Cricetulus griseus: one gene and its partners. The protein of the gene in region 1 binds, or shares a complex with, the protein of each later gene. Links are inferred from orthologs where the notes say so. Each region holds a gene or a part of one and is shown in the gene's direction. Other genes may lie near its edges. The genes, in order: Sart1, Lsm5, Lsm8, Lsm6, Lsm7, Lsm3 and Ubl5.

Evidence for each region.
Region 2: Sart1 (region 1) and Lsm5 share a complex: the UniProt entries of both Homo sapiens proteins name them as parts of the U4/U6-U5 tri-snRNP complex. The link is inferred for Cricetulus griseus from reciprocal best matches to the Homo sapiens genes SART1 and LSM5.
Region 3: Sart1 (region 1) and Lsm8 share a complex: the UniProt entries of both Homo sapiens proteins name them as parts of the U4/U6-U5 tri-snRNP complex. The link is inferred for Cricetulus griseus from reciprocal best matches to the Homo sapiens genes SART1 and LSM8.
Region 4: Sart1 (region 1) and Lsm6 share a complex: the UniProt entries of both Homo sapiens proteins name them as parts of the U4/U6-U5 tri-snRNP complex. The link is inferred for Cricetulus griseus from reciprocal best matches to the Homo sapiens genes SART1 and LSM6.
Region 5: Sart1 (region 1) and Lsm7 share a complex: the UniProt entries of both Homo sapiens proteins name them as parts of the U4/U6-U5 tri-snRNP complex. The link is inferred for Cricetulus griseus from reciprocal best matches to the Homo sapiens genes SART1 and LSM7.
Region 6: Sart1 (region 1) and Lsm3 share a complex: the UniProt entries of both Homo sapiens proteins name them as parts of the U4/U6-U5 tri-snRNP complex. The link is inferred for Cricetulus griseus from reciprocal best matches to the Homo sapiens genes SART1 and LSM3.
Region 7: the proteins of Sart1 (region 1) and Ubl5 are in contact, whole or in part, in a crystal structure (PDB 4PYU), measured with the Homo sapiens proteins. The link is inferred for Cricetulus griseus from reciprocal best matches to the Homo sapiens genes SART1 and UBL5. Residues at the interface, in NP_005137.1 of Homo sapiens: Ser117, Leu118, Ser119, Ile120, Thr123, Leu126, Arg127, Leu130, Leu132, Lys133, Leu135; in NP_001041706.1 of Homo sapiens: Met1, Glu3, Arg15, Lys17, Cys18, Asn19, Asp21, Asp22, Asp26, Lys29, Leu30, Ala33, Gln34.

What each region holds. Positions count from the first base shown.
Region 1 is NC_048596.1:53,945,599-53,949,863, forward strand, and holds the start of Sart1 (U4/U6.U5 tri-snRNP-associated protein 1), read left to right. Parts: upstream 1-1,465; 5' UTR 1,466-1,541; coding exon 1,542-1,854; intron 1,855-3,996; coding exon 3,997-4,054; intron 4,055-4,265. UniProt on the Homo sapiens protein: Plays a role in mRNA splicing as a component of the U4/U6-U5 tri-snRNP, one of the building blocks of the spliceosome. May also bind to DNA.
Region 2 is NC_048601.1:84,604,465-84,608,588, forward strand, and holds the start of Lsm5 (U6 snRNA-associated Sm-like protein LSm5), read left to right. Parts: upstream 1-1,324; 5' UTR 1,325-1,400; coding exon 1,401-1,446; intron 1,447-2,365; coding exon 2,366-2,461; intron 2,462-2,739; coding exon 2,740-2,767; intron 2,768-3,689; coding exon 3,690-3,762; intron 3,763-4,124. UniProt on the Homo sapiens protein: Plays a role in pre-mRNA splicing as component of the U4/U6-U5 tri-snRNP complex that is involved in spliceosome assembly, and as component of the precatalytic spliceosome (spliceosome B complex).
Region 3 is NW_023276806.1:207,804,434-207,808,533, reverse strand, and holds the start of Lsm8 (LSM8 homolog, U6 small nuclear RNA associated), read left to right. Parts: upstream 1-1,300; 5' UTR 1,301-1,421; coding exon 1,422-1,452; intron 1,453-2,372; coding exon 2,373-2,413; intron 2,414-4,100. UniProt on the Homo sapiens protein: Plays a role in pre-mRNA splicing as component of the U4/U6-U5 tri-snRNP complex that is involved in spliceosome assembly, and as component of the precatalytic spliceosome (spliceosome B complex).
Region 4 is NC_048596.1:154,686,612-154,690,111, reverse strand, and holds part of Lsm6 (U6 snRNA-associated Sm-like protein LSm6), read left to right. Parts: intron 1-2,988; coding exon 2,989-3,102; intron 3,103-3,500. UniProt on the Homo sapiens protein: Plays a role in pre-mRNA splicing as component of the U4/U6-U5 tri-snRNP complex that is involved in spliceosome assembly, and as component of the precatalytic spliceosome (spliceosome B complex).
Region 5 is NC_048598.1:101,634,295-101,638,309, reverse strand, and holds the start of Lsm7 (U6 snRNA-associated Sm-like protein LSm7), read left to right. Parts: upstream 1-1,215; 5' UTR 1,216-1,279; coding exon 1,280-1,285; intron 1,286-2,145; coding exon 2,146-2,239; intron 2,240-3,112; coding exon 3,113-3,184; intron 3,185-3,775; coding exon 3,776-3,918; 3' UTR 3,919-4,015. Other genes in the region: Sppl2b (signal peptide peptidase-like 2B), read right to left, coding at 1,074-1,124. UniProt on the Homo sapiens protein: Plays a role in pre-mRNA splicing as component of the U4/U6-U5 tri-snRNP complex that is involved in spliceosome assembly, and as component of the precatalytic spliceosome (spliceosome B complex).
Region 6 is NC_048601.1:52,288,973-52,293,004, reverse strand, and holds the start of Lsm3 (U6 snRNA-associated Sm-like protein LSm3), read left to right. Parts: upstream 1-1,232; 5' UTR 1,233-1,361; coding exon 1,362-1,382; intron 1,383-3,878; coding exon 3,879-3,989; intron 3,990-4,032. Other genes in the region: Xpc (DNA repair protein complementing XP-C cells), read right to left, coding at 1,003-1,096. UniProt on the Homo sapiens protein: Plays a role in pre-mRNA splicing as component of the U4/U6-U5 tri-snRNP complex that is involved in spliceosome assembly, and as component of the precatalytic spliceosome (spliceosome B complex).
Region 7 is NC_048597.1:133,522,816-133,526,566, forward strand, and holds Ubl5 (ubiquitin-like protein 5), read left to right. Parts: upstream 1-1,428; 5' UTR 1,429-1,584; intron 1,585-1,839; 5' UTR 1,840-1,850; coding exon 1,851-1,906; intron 1,907-2,054; coding exon 2,055-2,138; intron 2,139-2,284; coding exon 2,285-2,322; intron 2,323-3,098; coding exon 3,099-3,142; 3' UTR 3,143-3,251; downstream 3,252-3,751. UniProt on the Homo sapiens protein: Ubiquitin-like protein that plays a role in cell proliferation and sister chromatid cohesion by associating with spliceosomal proteins. Participates thereby in pre-mRNA splicing by maintaining spliceosome integrity.

The sequences.
Region 1 (4,265 bases):
GGCCTCCATCTGTGTTTTTAAGGAGCCACCGGTCATTTGGAGTAGAAATGGAGCACTCTTTTCAGAACCCCCCAAAGATAGAAGCCACCAGCCATCAGTCTGGAAGACTCTCCTCCCCGACCCTGAACCCAGCACAGTCCCTGAGATAAAAATTAAATGCTTATGGCAAGTATGGTGTGAGACTTCTGACGGGAGTTGGTTATGCATTGTGGGGCGGGGGGGGGGCAGTGGTAAGTGGGTGGCCTGGACTTAGCTACTTCCCACATATTCTGGGAACCCTGGCTGCACCCCTTCCTCGGCAAACACATGCTGTCTCTGCTACTGAGTGGGACACCTAGAAATGCTAGTGAACAGGTCCACCTCTGAAGACTCAGTAGTAGAGCAGAGCCGTAAAGGAGCAGGAAAACCATACCAAAACACGCCGAGGTGTGCTACACAGGAAACCCACAGAGGAGCAACTAGTAGCAGAAGGGAGTGTGTGAATCCTTAACTTTAAAGCTCATCTCCTCAAGACCAAAACAAAACAACCAAACCAAACAAGCAATCAACCAAATAAAAAAGCCCAGGAAGAGAGAAAAGGCTGGGAAAGCAAGGCATTGTGGCTTGTGCCTGTAATCCCGGACTGAGGCCACATAGTTAACGGGACAGAGGAAGGAAAGAGAGAGGGGGGGGGAGGGAGGGAGGGAAGAAGGAAGGGAGGAAGGAAGGCAGGCAGGCAAAAGAAAAACGGATCTGCCCAATTTGCACTTGAGCCTGGCTTGGGCGAGCATGCCTGAAATCCCGGCCACTCGCAGCACACGGGAGGCTGAACCAGAGGGTTCGAGACCTGCCAGGGCTACGTAACAAGCACTAGGCCAACCAGACCTATATAGACCCTATCTTAAAAAGAAAATTAGAAACAAAAACAGCACTCAATTTCACGGGGTTCACAGGCACAAATTCATAGTGTTCCGTAGCAGTCCAGAGCTCAGGTTAAAAAGACCCAATCTACCAATCCAGGGAAAGTGGGCGACGGTAGCATTCGCTGGCAACAGTGGTTTATTGGGGTTGCAAGTCTGGGGCTTTGCAGCTGGTTTCTTCAAGAAGAAAACATGCGGTATCTTCCAACCCCGGACGGATCCCCGGCCCCGGGGAGCCTACGAGAAGGACAATCACTGGAGGAGGGGACGCCCACGAAGAGGCTTGAGGCACAGAGCGCCACGAGGCTCTCGGAGTGGAAAGGTCAGGGAAAGAGCTCCCAGCTCCGCAGACGGTGGCTTTTAGCACGATTCCAAAGCTGTTACAGTTCTAACCCGGGAGAGCCAATGCCGACCCCGTAGCCTCTACAGGTGCACATGCGCAGAGCCAGTCCCCGGGAGCCGGGAATGCGCAGTCTCAACCCGTCCCTCCCATGAGCCTCTGGAGGTTCCCAGGCCGGCCCCGGAAGCAGCCGCTCTTAGTTTCCGGCAACAGCGCAGCGGCGGCCGCACGACCCGGAAGTATTCCCATTTTGCGTCGTCTGGGCTCGGGTGGCGGCCCGGCTCCAGACGGACGCACTAGTCATGGGGTCGTCAAAGAAGCACCGCGGGGAGAAGGAGGCGGCGGGGACGACGGCGGCGGCCGGTACCGGGGGCGCCACCGAGCAGCCGCCGCGGCATCGAGAGCACAAGAAACACAAACATCGCAGCAGCGGCGGCGGCAGCAGCGGCGGCGAACGACGGAAGCGGAGCCGCGAGCGTGGGGGCGAGCGCGGGAGCGGGAGGCGCGGGGCCGAAGCCGAGGCCCGCGGCGGCGCGCACGGTCGCGAACGAAGTCAAGCGGAGCCCTCGGAGCGGCGCGTGAAGCGAGAGAAACGCGATGACGGCTACGAGGCCGGTGAGGGCGGGGCGGGGGCGGGGCAGGGGCCTGGGGTGCGCGGGACGGAGGGTGCAGGGTGACCGCCAGGGCCTGTGCCTCTCGGGCTGAAGACTTGCTCCGGCTGTTGGGGACTAAAGACTGACTCCCCATGTTAAGCTTCGGAAGGACCGGGGTCTTGCGTTTCCCCTTCCCGTCTGGCACTTGACAGTAAATGCGGTGGGTGGGCGAAAGGAGGAGGTGCGAGCATGCACAGACAGAGGCAAGAGAAACCTGACAGTAGGTGGAATCGTCATGAAGCAGTAAGATACGCTTGGGTCTGAACACCAAGGACCCTGTGCTGTAAGCTCTGTTGAGAAATTTGGGCTTTGTGATGAAGACGGTAGGGAGTCGAGGATTTGAGTAGGGAAGTGGGTTGATTTACTTCATATGTTAAGATCACACTGGATTGAGCTGGGCATTGGTGGCGCACGCCTTTAATGCCAGCACTCGGGAGGCAGAGGCAGGCAGATCTCTGTGAGTTCGAGGCCAGCCTGGTCTCCAGAGTGACTGCCAGGATAGGCTCCAAAGCTACACAGAGAAACCCTGTCTCGAAAAACAAAAAAAAAAAAAAAAAAAAAAAAGGATCTCTGGGTTGAGAGCTTGTCAAAAATAGGACTACAGACCCTGAGATTAGGAGGGAGGTCAACCCAACCAGGTGAGGACTAACAGTGAGTATGCATGTTTCTCCATGCAGTAGGGTGGAGAGACTGGAAAGATTGAATAGGTGTTTAGGAAGTGCAATGAACAAAATTTAGTGCGTGGGCTAAGGGGATGGGAGGGATGAGGAACAGGGAATGCCTCCTGGAGTTTTGACCTTACCCGCCTGGTGAATGGTTTTCATCTGTTGAAGTTGGTGTTTAGAAGACTAGCAGATTTGAGGCAAGGGAGAATGACCCAGTTTGGGAGAGCTTTGGTCAGTGTGTATGGGAAAACCTACAGTTTAAGTGGGATAGAGTGATTTGAGGCTAGTGTGTATTCAGGAATCCAAAGTGCCCTAGAGTGTGTGGAGTGAGAACTAGGATCAGAAATAGAACTTAGTAAATGCCAATAGCTCAATTGTGGGCAGAGAAACATACTTAAAAAATAAAGAGTAGCCAAATGGCAAGAACACTACAGTTGGGTCATAGGATCTGTACAAAGAGATGATTGTTGAAAAGACAGAGTGGTTAAGAGCATCACACACCACAGGGCATTATGCAGAACCAGAACTTGTAAACAAAGGGTTGTTTTCATTTTATGCATTTGAGTGTTTTACCTCCATATGTGAATATGCACTTGGTGCATTCCTAGTGCCTGTGGAGGTTCAGAGGAGGACATTGGATCCCCTGAAAATGAGTTAGGTGGTTGTGAGATGCCATATAGATTATGGGAACCAAACCTGGGTCCTCTGTAAGAACAGCAAGTGCTCTTATCCACTGAGACATCTCCCCAGCCCCTAAATTGAAACTTTTTTTTTTTTTTTAATAATCTGCTAATTGGAAAAAGGGAGACTTGAGACTTGAGAGTTCATATAGAAAATGGGGTCCAGAGCCTAGGTGGAGGAGGAAGGGTTTAAAGAGCAGTGAGTAGTGTGTGACAGGGGACTTGGGCATCCTGGTGGCATCTTCCTCTGTATAGTGTTTATTGAAGTTCTCTCCTGTTTGTGGGGTGGATAGATCAGGTCCAGAGTGCTTCCTTTCCTATGTCCATAGCATCTGGCATGGAACACACACTAGTAAGTATTCCATACACTGCTGTGGGCAGAAAGTGCCAGAAATGACAAGCAGTGCTGTGCCGTTCTAGGCAGAGTTTTAATTCTGGTCAGTAATTGAGCAGGGCTTCATGGAGGAGATGATACTTGCTCTTTTGATAGAACTTTATGAGAACAAGAGCAGAAGGGACTGTGGAGGCTGAAGGTAGAGTGTGGAGATTTGGAGTGGCACAGTGAGGGATGCAGAAAAAAGATAAGGGCCTGGGTAGCAGCTGCAGGGAACCCTGGGGGAAGAAGGCTGCTGTTTTCTGGTGTCATCTACCCAGGTGCTGGTGGGGGCCCTTGTCTTCGACCTTGCAACTGAAGACCATGATGTTGCTTCTTGGTCCCATGTTCATGGGTTCCTTAAGCCGTGCTCCTTATTGTTCTAGCTGCCAGCTCCAAAACTAGCTCTGGAGATGCCTCGTCACTTAGCATCGAGGAGACCAAGTGAGTAGCCCTTATGCTGTTTTGATTTTCCTCTGAGACTGGTTGCACCTGGGGCTGTTACCTATAGAAACTTTTTCAATCTAAATGAAGCCAGTTAGAATTGGAATGGCCAGATGAGTCATACTGCCAACCATAGGAGCTACGTGGAAGAAACTGAGACCCAAGAGGAAGGATAGTCTTCCCCAGTCAGGAAGCCTGTTCTGGAAGCCTG
Region 2 (4,124 bases), on another chromosome or scaffold:
TCTTGAAAAACCAAAATAAAAGAATGTATTTGTAATTGCCCCGACACCTAGTAGGTACACGAGATTTATGGAATGGGGTTTGTGGGGAAAAGCCACCACTGGCTTGAAATTGAGAATGGAGTGGAGTTTCCAAGGATCCCTAGAGGCATTGCTTTATCTATTAAACTTCATAGTGCTATATACATACAATTTATTTGTCCTTCTTCTCACTCACTCTTGTAGAAGACTTTTCTGTACATTGCTTTATATACCCAGCGAGCTGCTAATTAAACGGTGTATGAGGGGTGCTTACCAAACACTGTAAAAATGAATGGTGTTGATTATGATCTCTCCTATTCAGATTGTTTAAGTCCCTCAGACACAAATGAGACAACCGAAGCTAAAGAATTTGCCTGCTGCTTTTTTTTCTTTTTAAGTAGGGACAACCCAGGTCTCATGAAGTCATGAATGCTAGGAAAGCACTCTAGTGCTAAGCAAGGTGGTTAAGCTCTCATTAGTTTTTATTTCCTATTTCGTGTCAGGGTCTTACTAAGTTGTCCATGCTTGGCAACTGTGGCCTCCTTCTGTTTCTTAAGCGCTGGGATTGCTGGCCACTCCTCACAGCAGCTTTTTATCTTTTTCCAAAACACAAGTGTGATAGCATGTTTTCCAAATGTGATGACACCAACATACGGAGTGACATCTAGCAGTTACCTGTAAATCAATAAGTGTTAGTAACTGCAAAAGCCTGCAATAAACTAGACTTCTAAAAGGACAAGAAGAAGCCGGGCATTGGTGGTGCACGCCTTTAATCCCAACATTGGGGAGGCAGAGGCAGGCGGATCTCTGTGAGTTCGAAGCCAGTCTGGTCTCCAGAGCGAGTTCCAGGACAGTCCCCAAAACAATACAGAGAAACCCTGCCTCGAAAAACCAGAATAAAATAAAGTAGCAAAAATTAAAAAAAACCTTTGAATACTCGGTATAGAATATTTTTAAAAGATGCTTCGTAAGGGTTTTCAGTACTCTAGGCTTAAAAGTACAGGATTCCTTAAGAAAATGAGTAGTAGTTGAGACAAACGCAGAACGAGTTGGTGATAGCAAATCCTCATTGATTTTATGGCTCTGAAGAAAGATCCAACCTTTTAGAGGAAAACTAGCCGACTCAGAGATCTCGTATGTTGTAGTCTTCAGGCAGATATAGAGGAGACAAACTGTCAAGTTAGCAAAACTTCGGGGGCACGGGATGGTGGCACCGATATAGTGCGGAACTATTCTATCGAGTCTGTCGGTGATCCATTTGGATACCCCGCGATCGCCAGATCTGCCTCCGATTAGTTCCGTCTGAGCCAGTTGTGGGAAAGGGCGGAAGCGCGCTCTTTTAAAGTCTGCGCCCGTAGCCCTATGCCACTTCCGGCGTGGCCATGGCGGCTAACGCGACCACCAACCCGTCTCAGCTCCTGCCGCTAGGTAAAAGTCTCGCCCGGGGCGCGGGCGGGTTGCTGCGGCCCCACGCCCGCGCCGGAGGCTTGCCCCTGGGGCCGCTGCGGAGACCGAGCCCGTTGTCTGTCGGCGGCCGGCGGGGGCCCCACTTGGTGAAGGACGCCCTCGGCCTTGCTTGTGAGCTCGCCGGTTAAGATGTCCCGGTGCCGGCCCAGCTCGCAGTGTGGCCTTTCCGGTCTACACCTTAGGGAGCCCCTGTATTGCATTTGGCGGTGTGAGGAGGGCGCCACGGTCTACAGTGACTCCTAGAAAGAAATCTGGAGACTAGCTCCGTCATTCGTTCGTTCATTCATTCATTCATCCATCCATCAAGCAGTTCCCTCCCCGTGCCAGGGTACTGTTGAATAACGAATTTAAACTACGGCCATTGCTTTCAGATAGCACACTGAAAGACTTCGTGCCGAGCAGTTCTCGGTTGGCCACGGAGATGCTCAGGTTGGTCTCCAAGCACAGAGCTAAAGGCAAGATGAGAGAAGTGACAGGAAGCTGGTGTCGGTCGTGAGGCCTCTCCTCTGTCATGTTTTGGCGCCGGTGAAGTTAGTCAATGTGGCAATGATGGAAAGTTCTTGCAGGGTCCACTCCAGGGTATGTTCATCGGCAGAAACACTGATGAGGAAAAACTAACATGGTTTCCACCTTGTGGTGTAATTGTTTTTCATACATTAACCAAATAGTCAAAATCACAGTCCCGTTAGTTGCAGCAAAAAAGGAGGTAAGCGAAGGCCAAGACAAACATTTGTGCTAATGGCTGAGCGGAGATTTGTGTAAGATGTAGTTATTTAGTGACTGCTTTTTGTTTCTCTTTAATGATACGGAAATAGTAAAGTGAGCACTCGAATGCTTGTTGAACTAATAAGTGGGTAAAACAATCTTTTTCTTTCCACAGAGCTCGTGGACAAGTGTATAGGATCAAGAATTCACATTGTGATGAAGAGTGATAAAGAAATTGTTGGTACACTTCTAGGATTTGATGACTTTGTCAGTATCCTTTTAAAAAGTGTTCATGGAACAGGTTTTTAAAGATGTATTAATATAAGAGCTGTAGACAGATGACATATTTCTGTTTATTACATTAAAAATTATTTATTTTCCAGGAACTTGGTAACATTTTAAGAGGTGTGCTTGCAGAAAGCAGATAGGGTTCTCTCCAACAACAAACCTTTTGAATTTGCACCATTGTGTTGAACATTTTTGCAACCAAACAAAAACATAAACCAGAATAAATTCAACCTTGTTTATTTTCTTAACAACAAATTTCAGATATGGTGTTGGAAGATGTCACAGAGTTGTGAGTAGTATTAAAAATGACAAATAAATGGGGGAGGAGAGGAGGAAATATCTTTTTGAATTAAAGGCAGGTACCCTAGTTCCTTTTCTGTTACTGTGAAGAGACAGCATGGCCAAGGCAGTTTATAAAAGAGAGCGTTTACTGCGTGGGCTTGCTTACAGTTTCAGAGGGTTAGAGTCCACGTTTTTTCATGGTGAGGTGTGTGGAGGCAGGCAGGCAGGCAGGCAGGTGTGGGGCTGGAGCAATAGCTAAGTGATTCTATGTTGAGATAACCATGAGACAAACAGAGAGCCAACTGGTTATAATTTATTCTTTTGAAACCTCAAAGCCCACCGCCACAGTGACACACCTCAGACAAGGCCACTCCTCCTAGCCATTCCCAAACAGTTCTGTCAACGTGAGCCCGTGGAGGCCATTTTCATTTAAACTACAATAGCAGGATTAGTATGATGGATAAAGTATTACCTGTTGGAATTCTTTTAATGCTGACTTATTTACCGGTATTTGTGAGGTTGGGCCAGAAGATTATTATCTTAATGTCATTATTCCTGAATTTCTAAGAAATTAGTGTAAACACGCTTTATAGTGACTTTACATTTACTTCTATATTATATCTTTGTAATATATCTTTATATTTACTTCTGTATTTATGAAGTTTTATATTTACATAACTATTATCTGGTGGGCAGACTGTATTGCTGAAAATTATTGTAATTGTATGAGTTCACATTCATTCATATGTAAGAATAACAGTTTTGATGCTAGGGATTGAACCTAGGGCCTTGTGCTCTGCCACCCAGGTGGTGCTCTGCCACCGAGCTAACCTCTTTACCCCAGGAATAATTTTTAGAGAGGAAAAGCGTTTCCAAAATAATTGCCTTTGAATACTTGTTTATCCTGACTCCATTTTTTATCTATTTAGTGAAATTACACCAGAAGGAAGAAGGATTACAAAATTAGATCAGATTTTACTAAATGGAAATAATATAACGATGGTAAGACATTAAAGCTGTTTTATTTTGAATTTAATTACTTTTATAGGGCAGGGATTACAGAACACTGCTGCTTAGCTCAGTGTTCACGGTCTAGACATGCTGAGGATGGGAAGGGAGCCTTCAGTGATCAGTGCCCCAACGCAGCTATTGAAAGAGCATTGGGCCTTAAGATTCATTTGCTTATTAATCTTTATTACCTTTAGTTCATCAGGAACCATTGTTGAAACTCTTAAGCATCAATTAATGTTGGGATTACTAGCAGATGTTGATGATCTGGGAAATGGGAATTGAAGGATAGGGGAGAGACAGTGGTGGCTTTGGTCCATGAGGAGCACATGGGGAGTTTTAGGTGGTATGATAGT
Region 3 (4,100 bases), on another chromosome or scaffold:
ACACACACACACACACTGTTGTGCCCAGATTTCGGAATCCCCAAAGAACCTGCCAACAAGAAGACGACTCACCAAATGCAAGGATAAAGGTTTCTTTATTGACTCAAGGACACCAGCTGCAGCAAGGACCCCATTCGTTTGGGAACAAAGGAGTACCCACTTTCGACTGAGGGGTGTTTTTAAAAGGGAAAATTGTAGGGCTGGAAGCCCCAAGATTACATAACTTCAGTAGTTACACAGGACAGGACAAAGATTGTTATGCTTCATGCAAGGTTTAATTAAGCAGGATACTGCAGAGGAAATGGGTTTGTTAATAGTCTCCTGGGCTGGGGACTTCTACAATTGATAACTATCTGATCCTCTTTGGACCAGAGGAATGTGAGTGCCATTCTAGGGTGTGATATCTGGTCTAAGGGCTTGAGTCCTGAGGCCCTTTGTTTAACCTTGTCTGCTGGACTGCTTTTTGGGAACTGAGTTTTCTTTTTGGGCTTTGGAGTCTGGGTTTTAGATTTTATTAATTTTCCCCTTTCAACACACACTAAAATTTTAAAATATTGGTTATGTACGGTTGACTGACTAACACATTTGTACAGCATCTAAGTGAAATCAGATCAAGAGGAGTTTAAGTGACTTTACAACAGGGACATCAATTATCAGGGATAGAATTAGAACCCAGCCTGGTGCTTAGTTTACGCTTTCCTCTAATCGGTCCCTTCAGAGTGGCAATGTAGACTTTCTTAATTACAACTTTCATCCCCAAGAAAAGCTAAGCCTCGATTTAGCCGTGCAAAGTGACCATCTATCGCGCACACCTTTCCCTCTCTGGAGTTCGTTTCCTTAAGGCTGCTTCGTGACACCTGAAGAGCCAAAAGCAGAATGCACGAGCACTTTTGATAGCTGGGCTCTCCCTGGAAATGCACCTCGTGCGGGCTACAAAGACGTTCGCTTTGCACCGCGCCATTTGTCTTTCGGAACTTTTTTTTGGCTCGCGCTGGAGAAGGCTAGAGCTCCCTTCCTCCCAAGGACGAGCAAACATCTCATCTAGGGCGTCTCCGGCACAGCCGATCTTCCCACACGACCGCGGCTCCCGCCCCTCCGCTGGCGAGCCTCCCAGCGCCTGCATCCAGCCCACACTTCCGCCCGTCCCCGCCTTTGTCCGTCTCCCTCTACCGACCGGCACCCGGAAGCGCGGCGGATGCACGCTGCGCACGCGCGCGAGTCAGTCCCCGCCCGGCTTCCGGTTTGGTCGGCTCCTTGCGAGTGCCGATTGGCTGCTAGGTACTCGTTGGTCTCGCGGTATCTGTGCTCACCGGCGGGCGGGCGGGCGGCGGGAACCGGTACGTGCTTCTGGCGGCCCGGCCGTGTCTCGTCTCCTTGTTGCCGGGTTGTCTCCTGTTCCCGGGACCTCCGGGCCCAGCAGCATGACGTCTGCCTTGGAGAACTACATCAACCGTATCCTCGGGCGGCTGCCCAGGCCGCGGCGGGGCGGGGCGGGGGCGGAGACCCGGGGCGGCGGGGAGGACTCGGGGTTCGGGACCGGCGGTGGGGTCATCCGGACAGACCCGGGCCCTTTTCACCCGGCACAGCTTCCCTGCAAGGAGCCTTTGGCTGGATTGCTGCAGATCCCTTAGGGCTTGTGCGGGCCAGCGTCGGGAATAAGTTGGACCGGTTTTCTCAGGGCTTGCGGTTGGCTCGAGGCTCGCATGCATAGAAAGGTGCTTGGTTCTCCAAGGTGAATTTCGGGCCCCCCCTGGAAGTGTCCATGCGATACCCTTAGAAGGAAAGCCTGGAATCGTGTTGGGCTTCAGTGACAGGCAAGGAGCTCTTAAGATCCCAGGTGAGATTTTAAATTACAAGCGCTGCTGCAAAGTCAGGACAGAAACCGTGCACCGAGCACATCTGGTACAGACAAGAAACTCAGGCGTTCAAAGCAGAGAGCTTTTAAGGAATCCAGGGTTGTTTGTACTTGGTGGCATTAATTATGACCAGGTCTTGGACTAGGGGAGGGGGCTTAACGCGCCACAACGGTGCAACATTGATAGTTACGCGTCCAGTTTTTATTTCAGAGGTGAAGACATTGGTCTGAGAAAGGAAGGGATTGTATCTCTCAGTGTTAGGGATTGGAACCCATTGCTGTTTTAAACCCAGGGTCAGATGTCAGACTCTACCCTTCTCCCATTAGATTTACTGTTTTCAGGATAGAATTGAAACAAGTTTCAAACCTTCAGTTTTGTACCTCGTGAGCAGCGGCTGTGTCGAACCTTCATACCGCCACTTTTTTCTTTTTTAAGTAATTGAGACCATTTCCTTACCAGGCTGAAAGTTTTCACTCTGCAATCTCTAAGAAATACTTTCCTTGACGCAGTTCTCAGGAACCGTCGCCGTTATCACTTCTGATGGGAGAATGATTGTGGTGAGTGGCATTTTCAGTCTGCTTCTTTGTAGGCTTATTGATTGTAAATTTGAAGTTACGTTTCTAATCTAATGCTGAGGTACCACGGTATAACCTCGATTCTAGTGTTCTTATGATCCAGCTGTTTTATTTTTTTAAGAATGTTTAAATTTAAAGTACACAGTGTTCTGCCCGCATGTATGCTGGAGATCCAGCTGTTTTGACAGACTTTTATCTCTTGGCTGTCAATACAGCTTCCCTAATAAACCTTGAAGTCTTCTGATCTGGAATGCAGAGCTGTGCCGACTAATTTTCTTCTTGCATTCTTTTTTTTTTTTTTAACCTCAATTCCTTTTGTTTGTTTTCATTTAGAGCTCTTTAAGGATTTACAAATTATGCATATGCTCTTGTAAGTTGCTTAACAATGGGGAGATCCAATCTGAGAAATGTGTATTCAGTGATTTCATTGTTCTTCAAATATTGTGAGAGTGGTTTCAGAAACTAAGTTAGCTGTGACTTCACTGGGGTATGATCTTTGGGACCATTGCCTCATCTACTGTCTCTGCAATATTTCTTTCACGGCTGTAATTTAATCCCATGTTTTCCCATTCGTGATTTTGTTTTCTTAAAGATTTATTTTTAGTTAGGTTTGAGTGTATGTCTGTTTGTTAGTGTCTGCCATGTGTGGTGGTACACTACACAAGGAGCCCAGAAGAGTTGTCAGATCCACTGGAGCTGGAGTTACAGGCCATTGTGAGCCACACTAGGTCCTTTGGAGGAATAGTATATACTTTTAACCATTTCTTCAGCCTCCTTATCTTCTTCTGAATCCCTTTGATTCTTCTTGCTCTTTAGTGAGCAACACCAGTCAAAGTGATAGACTGCCATAGTAATTGCAGTGCTTATCATATGCTAGGAATTTTGTGTTATTTAGTCTGCAAGGAATCTCAAGAAGAATTATCACTTATATTGTAGATTAGGAACCAGGCTTAGAAAAAAAAAAAAAAAAAAAAAAAACCAAGTTACTTTCACAGAGATTCAGTATAACAAGTGTGTTATAAATTGAGTTTTATTCCAAAACCCATAAAGGAAACAGGTGTCTTAAGGTTTTTTGTTTAGTGGTGGTGAGTTTACACTCTAAATTTGTCAACAGTAGGCAATTTGGAATGTGAAATTAGGAATATGTTTGTTTAAACATTGAAAGAAGTCTGTTGCATTTATCAGATAATTTACAAATAACTGATTTTTGAAATCCTCAGGTTTAAATTTCTTATATTTCTGTTAGAAAATGCTTATAGAAGAAAAGCTAAACAGAAACTTTGTATTGACACTCAGTAGTTCTGTCTTTATCGTACCTGATAAAATAATTGCATATATAATGAAGATGAGAGCACCTTTATAGGGGTTTATGATAACTACCATTTGCCAAGTGCTATAATAAATAGTCTAATTTGTTTTTCTTCCCAATTTCTACATTCCAAGTTTCTATTTATTTCATTCAGATTCTATACAATTATGGTTTTTCAGAACAGGGGGGTTTAAAGGTGTACCCAAGAGATTAACCAGCCAAATCTAAAAGAAGCTATTTCTTCAGAAACTTAAACAGCATTCATTATATTACATTTTGCTATAGCCACAAAATTTTTCCTGAGTATTTCCTTCAAGTTAAGTTCTTGATTATTTTGGTTCTACATATGTCTACTATATT
Region 4 (3,500 bases), about 100 Mb from region 1:
TCGAATTAAGATATGCCAGACTACTTAAACTATTTGACAGAGAGTGGTAACTAATTCATTAGCAAAGTTTTGTAGCTGTTTCTTTGTCTCTTTCCTAAATTTCCTTAAGGTTTTTCCCTTGTCCGAATATTTACATGTAACTGAGCATATGTTAATCACTTCAATACATACATTGTCACTTTGTTTTCCATAAACTGAGATTTTATGGTTATCCTCACTGGGGAAGTGAGAAGCCAGGATGTACACAAGCCTGACTGGAAAGCTTTGTTAAGAAATCACTGGAGGGGCTGGAGAGCTGCTTCAGCAGCTAAAAGTACTGACTGCTCTTGCAGAGGGCACAGGTTCAGTTCCCAGCACCCATGGAGGATCTCACAACCCTCTAACTCCAGTTTCAAGGGATCCAATACCTCTTTGGCCATCAGACAACGCACACACAGACAACCACTCACATGTATAAAACTAAAATAAACATTTAGTAACTCCACTGGATCCCAGTGCTGGGGAGCTCCAAGTGCCCACATTGGGCAGTTCCCAGCCTCCTGTAATTCCACCTCCAGGAGAACCAACACCTCTGGCCTCCAAGGATACCTGTACTCATATGTACCTGCACATACACACACACACACATATCACTAAAAGTAAGATGAGATCTTTAAAAACAAAGGGGAAAATCACTTTGTTCTTGGTTTCTTGACAGTAATAGACAATATTGCCAATGTTTTTGATTGTATGCTTGCTTGCTTTTTGAATCAGTATCTTGTCATGCTATCCAGCCATCTTCAGGCAAGTTCTCTTTCTGCCTTGGTTTCCTCCCAATCCTGTGGTGATGTTTTGTTTATGATCTAACAAATAAAATAAAGCTTGCCTGGAGATCACAGTGCAAAGCTAGCCACACTAGTCAACCATAGAGACTAGGTGGGGGTGGTGCACGCCTTTAATCCCAGCACTAGAGAGGAATATAAGTCCAGTGGAGACAGGAGTGCAGTGTATTCAGTTTGCAGTCACACCAAGTACAGGATGGCCCCAGCCTTGCTAGAGGTGAGAACTTTTCTAATCTTCAGCTTGAACCCCAATATCTGTCTCTGGATTTTTATTATTCGTGCTACACATGCTGAGGGTTAGAATTATGGTTGTGTGTGCCACCTTGCCCAGTTTTCAGCCATAAACTTTGGACACATTTTGTGTGGTACTTTCTCAGCATCCACTTCTTGAAGAGGATGTTAGCTGTCTTAGCCTTTTCTTTAGGGAAAGTGTTTCTGTTTATAAAAGTAATAATACATGTTTTAATTTGTTGTTTATACCTTCTGGGCAAGTAATGGGAAGCAGTGTTTCACTGTATTCCCCTGTGTGGAGACAATCCCCTGACCACAGAACAGGACAGCCACCTATGCAGCCTTTTTTCTCTTACTACAATAACCAATAATGTTCTAACAAGAAAAGAACGCGCCTGGATGTGTGTGCACACCTTTAATTTAGTCCCAGCACTTGGAGCAGAGGGGGTGGGTCCCTGTGAGTTGGTCTCCATAGTGGAAGCCTGAGAACAGAAGGAAAAGGAAGGGAAGAGGAAAAGACCCAGTGTTCTGTGACAGTTCTTTAGCTTGTTATTTCTCTTCTTGATCTTGGAGAAGAGGAAGAGCTACAACTTTAACACCCTGAGCAGGTTTTTGTTTTGTGTTAGTTTTTGCAGCTTGGACAATACACACGCTAGGCAAATGCCCTACAGCTGAGCAAAACCTCCTTGTTTATCTTTTAACTTTTATGAGATCAGATATTTTTACTAACAGTGAGTAAAAGTGGCATTATGTTTTGAATTACCGTTTTGGCTAATTCCATATCATATCCTAGAATTTCTTCCTAGTCTGTGAATGTGCTTTAAGTGTAACATAGTAGGGCAGAAGCAAACAATAAAACCGTGTCTCGAGCTTCCTTTGGCTAAGAAGTAATTGTTGTTGATAGTTGACAACAGTCTAGTCTGATTGTTTGAATTCTGCTCTGCTAATGTCTTGTGCTCTGATTACATACACACAGTTTTGAAAAGAAACCTCTGTTTAGAGGATAATGGGGGCAGAAGCGGAGAGTGAGGAGCATATTAATGAAGTTAAGATTTTAAATGGGACTATTGACTTACTTAATTGAATTGAATCTGTAGTGTGTTTTTTATTCATACAAGTATCACTTTAGATTACAGGCTGAGAATTAGAAGCTTCCTGGCTTCGTCTTTTGAAAAAACGTCATCTGGTCAGATTTTGGAAATATATTCCATCTCCACACAATTAATGAGTCACCCGAGCTGTTTTCCTTGAAAGCTCTCTGGAATGTTTGTAGCCGTTTTTCTCTATTAGTTTTGATTTTAAAAATAGTCTAACTCTGACAGAACAGAATGCAATGTGTCGCAATGCAATATGTTGCTCTCTGTTCTCAAGCTGCTCTTCGATGGAGTCGTAGCTTTGAGCTGGGCTTTCAGGGGCACCTGCTGTCTATTATCTTAACAGATTGTGGAGACTTCCTCTTAACCCAGGGCACATTCATCTGCTGCAGGAGATATTGTGCAAGAGTGAGATAAATCTGCCAGATCCGTATTTCACTTAGTGGCTAAAGTAACAAATGTCACTGGGTGGAGGCTCATTTATCCATGTGTAGTTGCTATGTCTGCCCCTAGCTTCCAAGAAGGACATTTTGGTTGGAATAATCTAATGCTTATACTTTTGTGAAGGCTTCCAAAGTTGCTGTGGTGATCACACATACCAGGAGGGGAGTGACAGTTGGCTGCCTGTCTTGGAGTTGTGGCTGCAGTGACTCCTCTCATGCTATGCCCATGCAGCCTTCATTCAGATCGGCACAGAGTAAAGACTCCTTTTGTGTTTACGTCTATTGAGTTTTGTTTACAGTGTGAATTTTTATCCTATGTGTTTGAAGGCTAATGAATAAAGTGATTGTCAGTTCTAAGATATACCCTGTAATTTTCAATTCTTTCTTTGTTTTCTCCAGGGGTCCTGGCCTGCCTGGATGGCTACATGAACATAGCACTGGAACAGACGGAAGAGTATGTAAATGGACAGCTGAAGAATAAGTACGGCGATGCATTCATCCGAGGAAACAATGGTAACAGCCTCCTGTAATAGAGCACTGGGGAGTTTCTAGATGGTGTTAAAGTTCCCTTGTATTCCTGTTTGTTTGTTTGTTGTACTTGTATTTTAGATCTTTGTATAAACCAGTTCTATTTGTGTGTGGAAAGAGAATTTGCTATGGATTGGAAGTAGAAATTCTCTTTCTCACTTTACTGATGAAGAGCTGGGAAATATTGCTTTACTGACCAGGACCCTGTTATCTTTTTGTTTGGTTTTGTTTTTCAAGACAGGGTTTCCCTAGAACTCACTTTGGCCTCAAACTCACAGAGATCCACCTGCCTCTGCCTCTGCCTCCCGAGTATGGGAATTAAAGGCCAGTGCCATCACCGCCTGACAACCCTGTTATCTTAAATATCATTTATTCTATTCTCC
Region 5 (4,015 bases), on another chromosome or scaffold:
GCCTGGTAAAAATGAGGCAGAGAGAGCTGAGGACTGCTGGCAGGGTGGGGAGCCCTGACACACTTTCAAAAGCTCATGCCCAGCCAAGAGCGGGATGTGGGGACAAAAACGTCAAAGGGGGATGTGGGCCACATGGTGGAGAGGCTAGGAACGCCACGCCTGGGTAATGTCTTAACTTCTTAGCCAATCAAGGAAGAGCATGCCAGTTGTGCCAGTGTTGGGAAGGCTGAGGCTCAGTTACAAGTTCAATGCTAGCCTGGGCTATAAAAGGAGATCCTGTCTCAAGATTTTGTAATCTTGAAAAAAAAAAAAAAGTATTTGAAAGAACGATCCAGACCCAGGGTCCATGAGAGAAGATGAATATATAGAATAACGTGCACAGGCCACCCTGTGGGCCATCCGCATTAGAACCCAGCAACTGCCCCGTGTGCCCGAGGCTGCAGCCCTTCACGAACCATTGGGACTGGAGCCTGATGCCACAGAAACAAACAAGAAATCTAACAACTAAGCCAAGTGTTGTGACGCAGGCCTGGCATCCCAGCACTTGGGAGACTAACAGGGTGTTCAGGGCCAGCCTGGGCAACATGGCAAAGTCAAGAGACCATCCTGGGCTGCAGCGCTTGTGGGAGGCCAGCGCGCATTACAGAATGAGTTCAAGGCCAGCATGCGACTGTGTCTCAGCAAGCGACGCTCACCAAACGTCCTGCCTCGGCACCGGGTCGGGGCGCATCCCGCGGCACCCGGAGGCCCCCACGGGTCCCCCGCGTGTTGCATTGACTGACCCAGAGGTGAGGAACCCCTCCTGCCCAAGGTCACGGAGCAGAAGCCGGGATGCAGGGCTGCAGGCACCCGGGGACCCTCCCGAGCCCCTGGGGGAGGAGGACGGGGACTCGCCCCATTCTGCAGAAGAGGAAACTGAGGCTGGCAGGGGCGGCGGCGGCAGTTGGGGCCCCGGGGCGCAGGGCGGGCTAAGCCCGGCCCGAAGTCTGCGGTGGCGACAGCGAGGGGACGACAGCAAGGTCTCGGCCACGGTCACGAGTGGTGCAGCCGAGCCGACCAGCCGTGGCGCTCACCTGGGCCGCGAGCAGCAGCAGCAGGGCCGCGGCGAGCCGCGCCGCCGCCATGTCCGCCTGTCCTGCCGCAGCTCTAGGCGGAAGGTTTCCCGGCAACGCCTTCGGGACCCCGAGACGCGCACGCGCCGGCCCTGCGCGTGCGCGGGCCCGCCCCTCGCTAGAAGTGGGCGGTGCGGAGCCTGCGCAGAGCAGCGCAGGTCGGCAAGATGGCGGTGAGCATTGCTGGGTCGCGGAGAGAGCGGGGTTCCCCCCGAGGGACTGTAGACGCGAAAACTGGGGGCACAGGAGGACCAAAGAGAGGGGGGCGGACACCCGAAGACGGATAGGGAGACAGGGACGCGGAGGAATAGGAATCACGTGGGACTGCACACCGGGCGTCTTGAGGAAGCAGACCGGGAACCTGGGGAAGCAGACCCGGAACCTGGGGAAGCAGACCCGGAACCTGGGGAAGCAGACCCGGAACCTGGGGAAGCAGGCGGGGAACCTGGGGGTGCAGACCCGGAACCTGGGGGTGCAGACCGAGGAACCTGGGGGTGCAGACCGGGGAACCTGGGGGTGCAGACCGGGAACCTGGGGGTGCAGACCGGGGAACCTGGGGGTGCAGACCGGGGAACCTGGAGGGTGCAGACCGGGGAACCTGGGGGTGCAGACCGGGGAACCTGGGGGTGCAGACCGGGGAACCTGGGGGTGCAGACCGGGGAACCTGGGGGTGCAGACCGGGGAACCTGGGGGTGCAGACCGGGGAACCTGGGGGTGCAGACCGGAGGGGGAACCTGGGGGTGCAGACCGGGAACCTGGGGGTGCAGACCCCTGGGGGTGCAACCTGGGGGTGCAGACCGGGAACCTGGGGGTGCAGGCAGGGGACATGAGGATATACACAGGGGGCATGGGAATAGAGAGAGATGCAGACTCAGCGACCTGGAATTTAGTTGGGGGAACATGGGAGATGGAAATGAGTTTGCAGACAGTTATGAGGGCTGCAGGATGGTCAAAAGGAGTCGCTGGGTGCCGGGTCCAGGCAACAAGGATATGGGAAGACTGGGTCTCACTCCTCAGCTCCTCCACTCTCCAGCAGGACAAAGAGAAAAAGAAGAAAGAAAGCATCTTGGACCTATCTAAGTACATTGACAAGACCATCCGAGTGAAGTTCCAGGGTGGCCGGGAAGGTGAGTGGATGCAACAGGGCCCCTAAGAATCGGGGTTGCGACAAGCAAGGGAAAGCCTCACAAGGCAGGCATTTTAACTCTTAACAAAGGCTAAGCTTGGGCCATCCTGTTACTTGAGAGGTACCAGTATGTCTCAATTGTGGATGGGGAAAATGAGTCCCAGGGAAAGAAAGCCAGGTGCGGTAGCACCCACACCATTATTGCTGGAGCCTGAAGGAAGAGGCCAGAAAGCTGGGAGGACATAGAAGAAGGAGGCAACAGGGGGATGGAAGGAAGGCATCCCTTCAAGAGCCTGGAGGTAGCAGGGACCCAGGAGGTTTCCAGTAGCAGGATCAGGGAAAGTTCCAGCCAGTCTGAGCTATGTGGCAAGACCTGTCTCCAAAAATCAACCAGGGCTAGGCTATAGCTTGGTGGATAGAGGGTTGGTTTAGTGTGCATAAAGCCCTGGATTTTATCTCCAACACCATGGAAACCAGGTGTGGTTGTACAAGCCTGCTATTCCAACCCTAGGAAGGTAAACACAGAATCGGGAAGTTCAAGATTATTTTCAGGTTGCCTAGTGAGTCTGAGGCCAGCCTGGGCAAATGATACTCTCTCATACAAATGGGAGGGGAAAAAAGGCTATTTTGTGTTACATGGAAACTATACAGAATTCAGTTTGGGGGATGATAACATTTTATTGACACTTGGTCCACCATGAACTCACTATCTATGGCCCCTTCCACACTTGTAGGAAGAGAGTTGGGGGTCATAGTCAGCAGGCCACCACATAGGGACATGTCTCCCCATGAGTTCTGTAGTGATAACTGTCCCCATGCCTGGGTCTGTAGTGGGAGGACAATAACATCATCCTTACCCATCTCTCCCTTCAAGCCAGCGGGATCCTGAAAGGGTTTGACCCACTGCTCAACCTGGTGCTGGATGGAACCATTGAGTACATGAGAGGTGAGCTGGCTGTGGTTGTCCAGGGATGCCACCAGGCCCTGTTTCTTCTCCACACCTGTGCAGTCACATTGCCGCAGGTGGTGCTGACCTAGGGTGCAGGTCCCTCCCTGATCACCAGAAAGGTGACAGGCCCACCATGATGGCCCCAGGCTTGAGATTTCAGCTCCTTCCCCTCAGCCCTCCTGGGGATGGCAGAAATAGTAGCTACTGTCCTCTGTCTGGATTGTTTGCCTGTGTCACCAGCTCCAGGACGCATAGGATCTCAGCTTATTCCAGAATAGTACCTGTAATGCCCAAAGAGTGTCCCTTCCTCTGCACCCACAACAATTACTTTCTAATTGCTCCCTGTCTCCACCTCTGGTCCATCCTCCCCGGGGCCTCTGCTTCCCCTGCAGACCACTCCTTGGGGTGAGTATCTGCCCTGGGTTCTTGTAGTATCCATGCCTACAGTCGGCTCTGAGACCCCAGGGCCTGGGTGTGTCAGTCCCCAAAAGAAAGATGGGACAGCCCTCTGAGGTCCTGGTTGTGGAGTGCTGGGTGGAAAGGACATGTCTTCAGTTCCTCTTGCCTGTCACCCCCTATTCCCACCAGACCCTGATGACCAGTACAAGCTGACAGAAGACACACGGCAGCTGGGGCTTGTGGTGTGCCGAGGCACCTCAGTGGTGCTCATCTGCCCACAGGATGGCATGGAGGCTATCCCCAACCCCTTCGTGCAGCAGCAGGATGCCTAGGTGGAGAGCGATCTGGCCCCAAGGACCTTCCTTCCTGTGTGAACTTTGTTTGGTGTTTTACTTTTGGATTTTGTTTCTGGTTTTTTATTTTGTTTTT
Region 6 (4,032 bases), on another chromosome or scaffold:
TGAAGCTTACATTGTACTCAAACAATCAGAAATGAAGATGACTGTAGAATGATAGGTGAATAGGAACATCACTGTGATTCTGTGGTGGAGGATACCTAGGAATGACTACTTTAAGATGACCGTGGAATGTCTTAGACCTCAAGTAGAGAAGAAATTAGACCCAGCAACAGCGACGGAGAACATTCTAAGGCAAAGAAACATGGAAGGCCAAGCCTCCAGATAAATAAACAGTATATTCAAAGAAGAGAAAGGCAGTCACCAAGAGCCATCTGTAATCCCTGTGATCATGAGGATGAGACAGGAAAAACCCAGAGCTCTAGGCCGGGCTGCTGTTTAAAATAAGAATATCTGGAAGAGAGACATGCTAAGTGAGGTAGATGCTATACACGGAGAGCACACATCTAAGAAGGTTTTAAGTAAGAAGACCAAGGCATATGAAGTTTTGTTGTCGTTCTACATCACTTGGCTGCTGGATGGAGATCTGATGTAGAGGGGAACTCACTCAACTAGAAAACGACAGGAACAGGATACCAGCTATGAAATTAAGAGAATTAGGCACATATTTCAGTGACTCCGAAGCTGAACTGGACCTCCTGACGAACTAGCAGTTAAGAAAAGGCGTGTTTTAACAGGTGGGTGAAGGAGTGATTTATTGAGATGGGAATATTTTAAGCTTCTCCTTGGTTCAAGACCAAGGTAAGAAGCGCATCGCAAACCTGGGGCCGGAATTACAGTGGATGCAACTTGGAGAGAGATTCTCACACTACAAGGTCTCCCTCTGTCCTAGTTTTGGTGTCTCTCTGACACCGGGCAACAGGGAAGCTTTTTCCTGATCGGCCCTCAACACTTGCCAAGAGGCTGGACTTGGTCCTAGGGGTTACGGTGGGGTCAGGGCTGATGGTAGAGGCCCTCGGGGCGCCGCGCATCCGGCCGTGGAGACCTTCCGCCCCGCTGCCCGCCCCAGCCTCCGCCACCATCGCCTTGCGCGCCGCAGCCTCTCACCCGCCTCGCTCTCCTCCGGCCGGGCTGCTTTGTTGTTCTCGGCTTCTCGGCCGCGCCCCCGCCGCCTTCCTCCCGCAGGGCGCTTCGGAGCCATGCTGCCCGGCAGCGACACTCCGGGCTACCGCAGCCAGCCGGCCGCAGACACTCTCCGCGTGCTCGCCCCGCCCCGAGGCGGGCCATGCCTGGGCCGCGCCCCCTGACCAGGTTGGGACCACGCCCTCCGGAGAAACCCCTCCCCCTGCAAACTACAGGGGCGCAAAGGGACAAAAATAAAGTAGGTCTACTTCCCGAGAGTGGAACCCTTTGCGTTTCTGAGTGCCTGTTCTCGCGAGAGGTGGAAAGGGCGCAGCGTTTGAAACATGGCGGACGACGTAGATCAGGTAAGTTTGTCCGGAGGCGCTCTTAGAGGAAGCGCTTGCGCTTCCAGGTCGGGTTCGCGTTTTCCACGCTCGCTGAGAAGCGGCCCGTCTCTCTTTGTCCCGAGGAACCACGGCCTTCCGTAGCCGCGCCGGCTCCTGAAACTTCCGCAGGCCTAGAGTTTTCTCAACCCGCCTATCTGCCCATCACGCTCGGCATCGGCTTTTATCTGTAAAATGCAAACGGCTGTCGACACCAGACAGAAAGCGTGAGGTAGTGGTGGACACCAGCTTTGTAATACGTGCAAGCGCCTGGTGCGCAGGCAGCGGCTCACTTGGAGTGCAGTAGGAGGGAGGGAGGGAGGTAGAGAACCTGGTGGAGATGTAGTCTGGAGAAAGCAAGCCAAGATCGGGTGCACACAGGATCACAGGCTGCCCTCTTCACCTGCTCTTCCCCCTATTCCTTAGCTACCTGTGGAGTTCCGAAATGATTGCACTCCCTCACACGCACACGCACCCACACACGGGTATTTAAAATAACAGAGCATGTTATTTTAAATATGTATTTCTTTATCTGAGACATTTCTTCCATAACTAGAACGTAAGTTACTTAATAGGGGCATTGGGGCGGGGGTGGCTGGAGAGGTTGCTTTAGGAGTTAAGAGCACTTGTTGCTTTTGTAGAAGACCATGGTTGGGATCCAGCACCCACATGTTGGCTTAACAGCACCCCAACGCATCTTAACTCCAGTTGCAGGAGGGGATCCTCTGCCCCCTTCTGGCCTCTGCTACCGAGCACTGTGTCAGCGTGTGGTGCACATGCATACAGGCAAACTGCTCACATACACGATAAAAGTAAACCTTTAAAATAAAGGGGGGTTTTCTGTGTTTGCTTTTCTTTCCTAGGTTTAGGACAGTGCTGTTAGCACTCAGCAGGTTATTAGTTGAGGGAACGAACCCAATGTTCAGGGGCAGCTTCTTTGAAAAGGCAGAATGTAAAGCTTACAGGGTGAAAAGGATTGACAGTGGCCATCCTAGACTGAAGAGGGCTGTCGTGGGAACAGATTTCATTGTTTTGCAGCTATGTATTTATATGCCCCTCTCCATACTAGAGTGAGCTCCATTGAGGGGATGCGGCTTCTGTATTGTTGTAATCCAGTGGTTGGTTGTCTGATTTCTTAACAAAAGCCTGCTGAGCTAAGGTGGGAGGAGGAAAGCACCAGTTGAGATCCGGGGTTGGGGGTGTTCTGGGAGGGTTGTTTGTTTCCTGTCATCAGCCTCATATCTACACAGCCTACAATTTTCAGCTTTCACTGACCCCAGGTACTCACTGGAGAAGCTTGCTGAATGGTCTTACTAATTCTTGATGGCTGGAACCACCTCTTTCATATAGCTGAATCCAGGTCATCCCAGTTCTAACCTTTGAAACCTGTTCCAACAGTTCTTGAAGAGTAATTCTGATTTATCATTCCTCTGAAATGACTGACCAAGAATGCATTCTTAAATCTTGAAGCAAGCAAGAGATTATATTAAATATAAGAAATTACAGGTGCTGGGAGTGGGGCTGGTAAGATAACAGGTAAAAATGCTTGCAGTTTGTAAGCGTGACAACCTGAGTTCAATTCCTGGGACACACAGAGGAAGGAGAGAACTTTATAAAGTTGTCTTCTGACAGCTACTTGAACCCCATCACACACACACACACACACACACACACACACACACACACACACACACACTCTTAAAAGTTCCAGACTCGGTTCATACCTGCCCAATCCCAGCATCTGAGAGGCAAAGACTTGCTGCTCATCAAAGGCTGTCATGGGCATGCCTCTTAAAAAAAAAAAAAAAGGTAATTATTTAGAAGTGTTTCCTTTTTACTTCAGATAGACCCTTTAGTCCTTATAAGATCTCTGAGGCAAAGATGTGGTCTCCCCAGTTTGCAAATGAGGAGTCTGAAACAAGAAATGGCATGATTTTTAATCCCAGTTCAGAAGAGCCAGGTCAGAACCCAGAATTGAACAAAGGCTTCCTAATGACTCAGTTCTTTTAACTTCTATACTATACTACTCGGTAGGTAGGTTCATCTTGCCAGCCAATTAGCACCCTAAACTTAACCTGCGCTGTACTGACTTCAAATTCTGTCAGATCTTTTTAGTAGTGTGTGAATAGGTATTGCAGGTATGTTTTTCAAATGATTGAATTATACAAAAGATAAAGCTAAGGTTCCTAAGTGGTACTCTAACACTTTGGATTTTTTGGAAGTTCAGTCATCATTTTGCTACTTAACTCCTCTCCACATAATGTTTTTCTCCTCTTTTACATAGCATCGAGGCACCGTTCTAAGCTTTCATATGTCATTTAAAATAATAGTATTGGGGAGACACTATTTTCTGCATTTGGCAAATTAGACTAAGGTATAAACGGGTTATGTGACTAGCCCTTGGTTTCACTGCTTAACAGTGATTGAAACACCACTCTGCCTCTGGTGGTCCATTACTAAGTGTGTTTCCTTCATCAGCAACAGACTACCAATACCGTAGAGGAGCCCCTGGATCTCATCAGGCTCAGTTTGGATGAGCGAATTTATGTGAAGATGAGAAACGACCGAGAGCTTCGAGGCAGATTACATGTAAGTCTTTTAAATTATCTCAAAACCAGATGTTTCCCTATCA
Region 7 (3,751 bases), on another chromosome or scaffold:
GCAAGAGCTAAGCAAGGAGTTGGGTGTGCAGCTCAGTGGGAGAGCCTTTGCCTAACATGCTAGAAGGCCTAGGTTCCATTTCCAACATCAAAGAAAAGAAAGGAAAGAAAAAGAAGAGAATGAAAAGGAAAGTAAGAAACCCCATTTTTTGGTGGTGCACGCCTTTAATCCCAGCACTCGGGAGGCAGAGCAGGCGGATCTCTGTGAGTTCGAGGCAGAGCATGGTCTACAGAGCGAGTGCCAGGATAGGCTCCAAAGCTACGCAGAGAAACCCTACCTCGAAAAACAACAACAACAAAAAAAAAAAAAAAAAAAAAAAAAAAAAAAAGAAAAAAAAGAAACCCCATTTTTCTGGTACGTATGCTTGAGCCTGGGAAGTATTTTCTGAACGGGAACGACGCACCGGGAAGAGGATGGACCAGATCAGAACACTAAGGACGTGAATCAGGACTTCATTCCAGACCGAAAGGTGTAACTGGGGTGAGGCTGAGGGGCCAGGACTGCCAAGCCAGGGAGGCGTGGCCACAAGCCGCAATAAAAAGAAAAAGTAATGCTTTCTGCTGCCTACTCGTAAGGATAAATTTTGTATAAGTGGTATTAGCTAAGCACAAGGCCCTGGTAGATTTTTCTTTTTCTTTTTGAGACAGTCTCTCTACAAAGTTTTGCCTGGAACTCGCTATATAGACCAGGATAGCTTCTAATACACTGGCCTATATAATACCAGCAACTTCCGAGGGTGGACATTAGTACCACAAATTCGAGATCAGCTTGGTCTATATATTGACACCCCATGTCAAGAAAATTAAGCAACTTTTAAAAAATAAATATATGTGTATATCTTACCTTACTGAGTACTGTCTGCTAAGAAGTTATCGTTCAGGAGAGGTGGGAACTGATTGAATTTAGAGAGGGATTCCTTCCCCATCAGCTCTCGCGATTCTGTAATCTGTAACAAGGTGTTCCTCGAAGATTAAAAAAAGAAGAAAAAAAATCGATTTTTTTTTTTTTTGTCCAGGATGGTGTTTCCAACATCTTCGCAGGCAGGACCCCGACAGACACATAGGGTGGTGTGGAGCACGGCCTGCCGCCCGAGACACAGCTTAGCTTTCATCGGCGGCAGTCTGCACCCCTAGGGTCTCGGAAGCAGTCGCTGTAGTCAGAGGGTAACGGCAAGCACAGGGGCCGAGACGGAGCTTTGAATGAACACCGAGAGCGCGGCAGCCAGGGCACCCGCGCGACTCCAGGTCCGCTGGGCAGCCGGGATTCTGCGGTAGGAGGTTTGTTTGGCTTGGGGATGGCAGACGCTTTGGGTCTCTTCCACAACAAAGGGATCGCCAACACTGCTCCGACCGTCGGCTGTAAATCCACTAGGACCGCCGCTCAGTCTCACAGTCTTCCAACCCAGCCTCGGCTCGGCAAACTGCGCCACAGAACCGCGTCTGTGAAAGCCCGGAATCCGGAAGCACCTAACAGCGGATGTTTCCGTTATATCACTTCCGCTTCCTGCTACTAGCCCTAAATCGGGCCAGGGCTCGGCGTTCGAGCTGGGAGTTGTGTCGTCGATAAATTCGAGGGGAATTAGAGGTGAGGGAGCTAAACTGAGAGGCCCGGGATCACGGGGAGCGGCGGGAGGCGAAGCCGGAGGCCGGGGCTGGGCCTGCGGGAGTAAGGGGCGGAGACGCGACTGTCTGGGTCCCCGCCGCTGAGACCCCGGACGGGGCTGCCGGGGATGTGTGTTCGGGTGGTGTGGACAGAGAACTCCACTCGGGAAGGGACTTTGGGCGACCCCAGAGTTCTGACTCCGCTATCTCCCATCATCTCCCCCCCCCCCCGGTGTAGCCGCAGTCACGATGATTGAGGTTGTTTGCAACGACCGTCTCGGAAAGAAAGTCCGCGTCAAGTGCAAGTATCCACCAGGGGGTGACCGGCCGTGGTCTCTGGGGCAGCTGCTGGTGTTAGGCAAATTGTGGTTAAATGGCGTAGATGGGGAGGCCTAATACCGTCTTCCTCGTTCTACCTCCTCCCTCCATTTACCTTAACTCCTTCGTGCCCAGCACCGATGACACCATCGGGGACTTGAAGAAACTGATAGCAGCCCAAACTGGCACCCGCTGGAATAAGATCGTCCTTAAAAAATGGTAAGTGCTGGTGGGGATTAGGCTAGAAGGTTGCGGTTGGGGGAGCGCCTCAGGCAACCCCGATGAGGGCTCAGCTTGCTTTCAAGACAAAAGCCCACCTCAACCCCGCCAAATAAGCTTCTCTCTGAAAGATGTCTGTCCCGTAGGTACACGATTTTTAAGGACCACGTGTCTCTGGGAGATTGTATCCTTTTCCTGACTTTTGTGAAAGAATCCATATACTTGAGTTCTGGTTCTATATTGAAACCTGTAGGGTTGTTTAACTTAAAATGTGGCCTATAGATAGGGACTACTGAGAAAATGGAAAGTATGGCGTTATTTTGTTGATGAGGAGGGTGGTGGAATAGTTTAACTTGGTTCAGAAGGATTTTGACGTTCAGGTTCAAAATATTTATGACTGAACAGCACATGGATATTGGACAGGAAGTGGAGGTGGAGTATACCTCAGATGTGACTAGTGGACAACCAGTATGATTTTTTTTTTTATGGGGGCAGGGGAGGGGTTCTGGGTCTTTTGCTGCAATTACGTTTATGCACCACATGCATGCCTGCTGCTGACTTAGGCCAGAAGGAAGCTTCAGATTCCCTGGAACCGTCGTGTGAGTGCGGGGATTGAACCCAGTTCCTGTGCAAGAGCAGCCATGAGTGCCCTTCAACTGTTGCTCTATGTCTTCAGCCTGAGTATGAACATTTAAGAAAATGTGTTAATTATTGCTGTGTGTGAAGGCCTGGGGCACTTGAGAATCTGACTCTACACCAGGCTTTGATGACAAACAGTTTTGCCTTCTCAGTGATGGTCACTTACATTATTTATAGCTTGAATTCTTAGATCAAAGTGCACATTCTAAAATTGCTTCCTTATTCCAAGGTTGGTTGTCGAGCCACAAGGTTCCATCCAACTGTGAGTGGGTAAAGGGTAGAGTCAGCCCTCAGTGAAAATTCCTTAATACTTGTCTTCAGATGAAATCCATGATGGGATGAACCTGGAGCTTTATTACCAATAGACGGGAATCCTTCTCCTTGACTACCCTGCCTTCCTCTCCCACCCTCATTTGACACTGGTATAGATGCACATTTTTAACAGTTCACATGAATAAAGACTTTGATGCTGCTTTGTTGCTGTCATACTTACATGAAGGTTGTATCCGGAGGGGAGAGCTGGTGTCTGGTGGGTATAGTTCCGTACCCTGTTCCTTGAGGAAGACTAACTGGAGGCTGGGCCTGGTAGTGCACACCTGACATCTCAGCACTTGAGAGATGGAGGCAAAAGGATCAGGTGTGAAGTCATGAGGGAAGAGTAGCCTAGTAGAATGGGACCCGGAGCTCTGCTGTTGCCTCTGGGTCACTGATGGGCAGAGATCCTGTGAGTATTGCCGTCCTCATAAACCATTAACCTGCATAGGGAGGGTAGATATGCTAGCTGGAACAGGGTCTGGCTTCACAAGACTGTGAGTAGGACACCTGCCCCACAGCTGAATTGCTCTAGGGAAGTTTCTTTACCCTCCTAAGCCTCAACAATGGTTTCAGTATCTTGAACCATCTCTACAATGGTTTCAAGACTAGGGTAAAATACAGTCTCCATTGTGAGGTATTAAAAAGCAGGTCCTTCACTA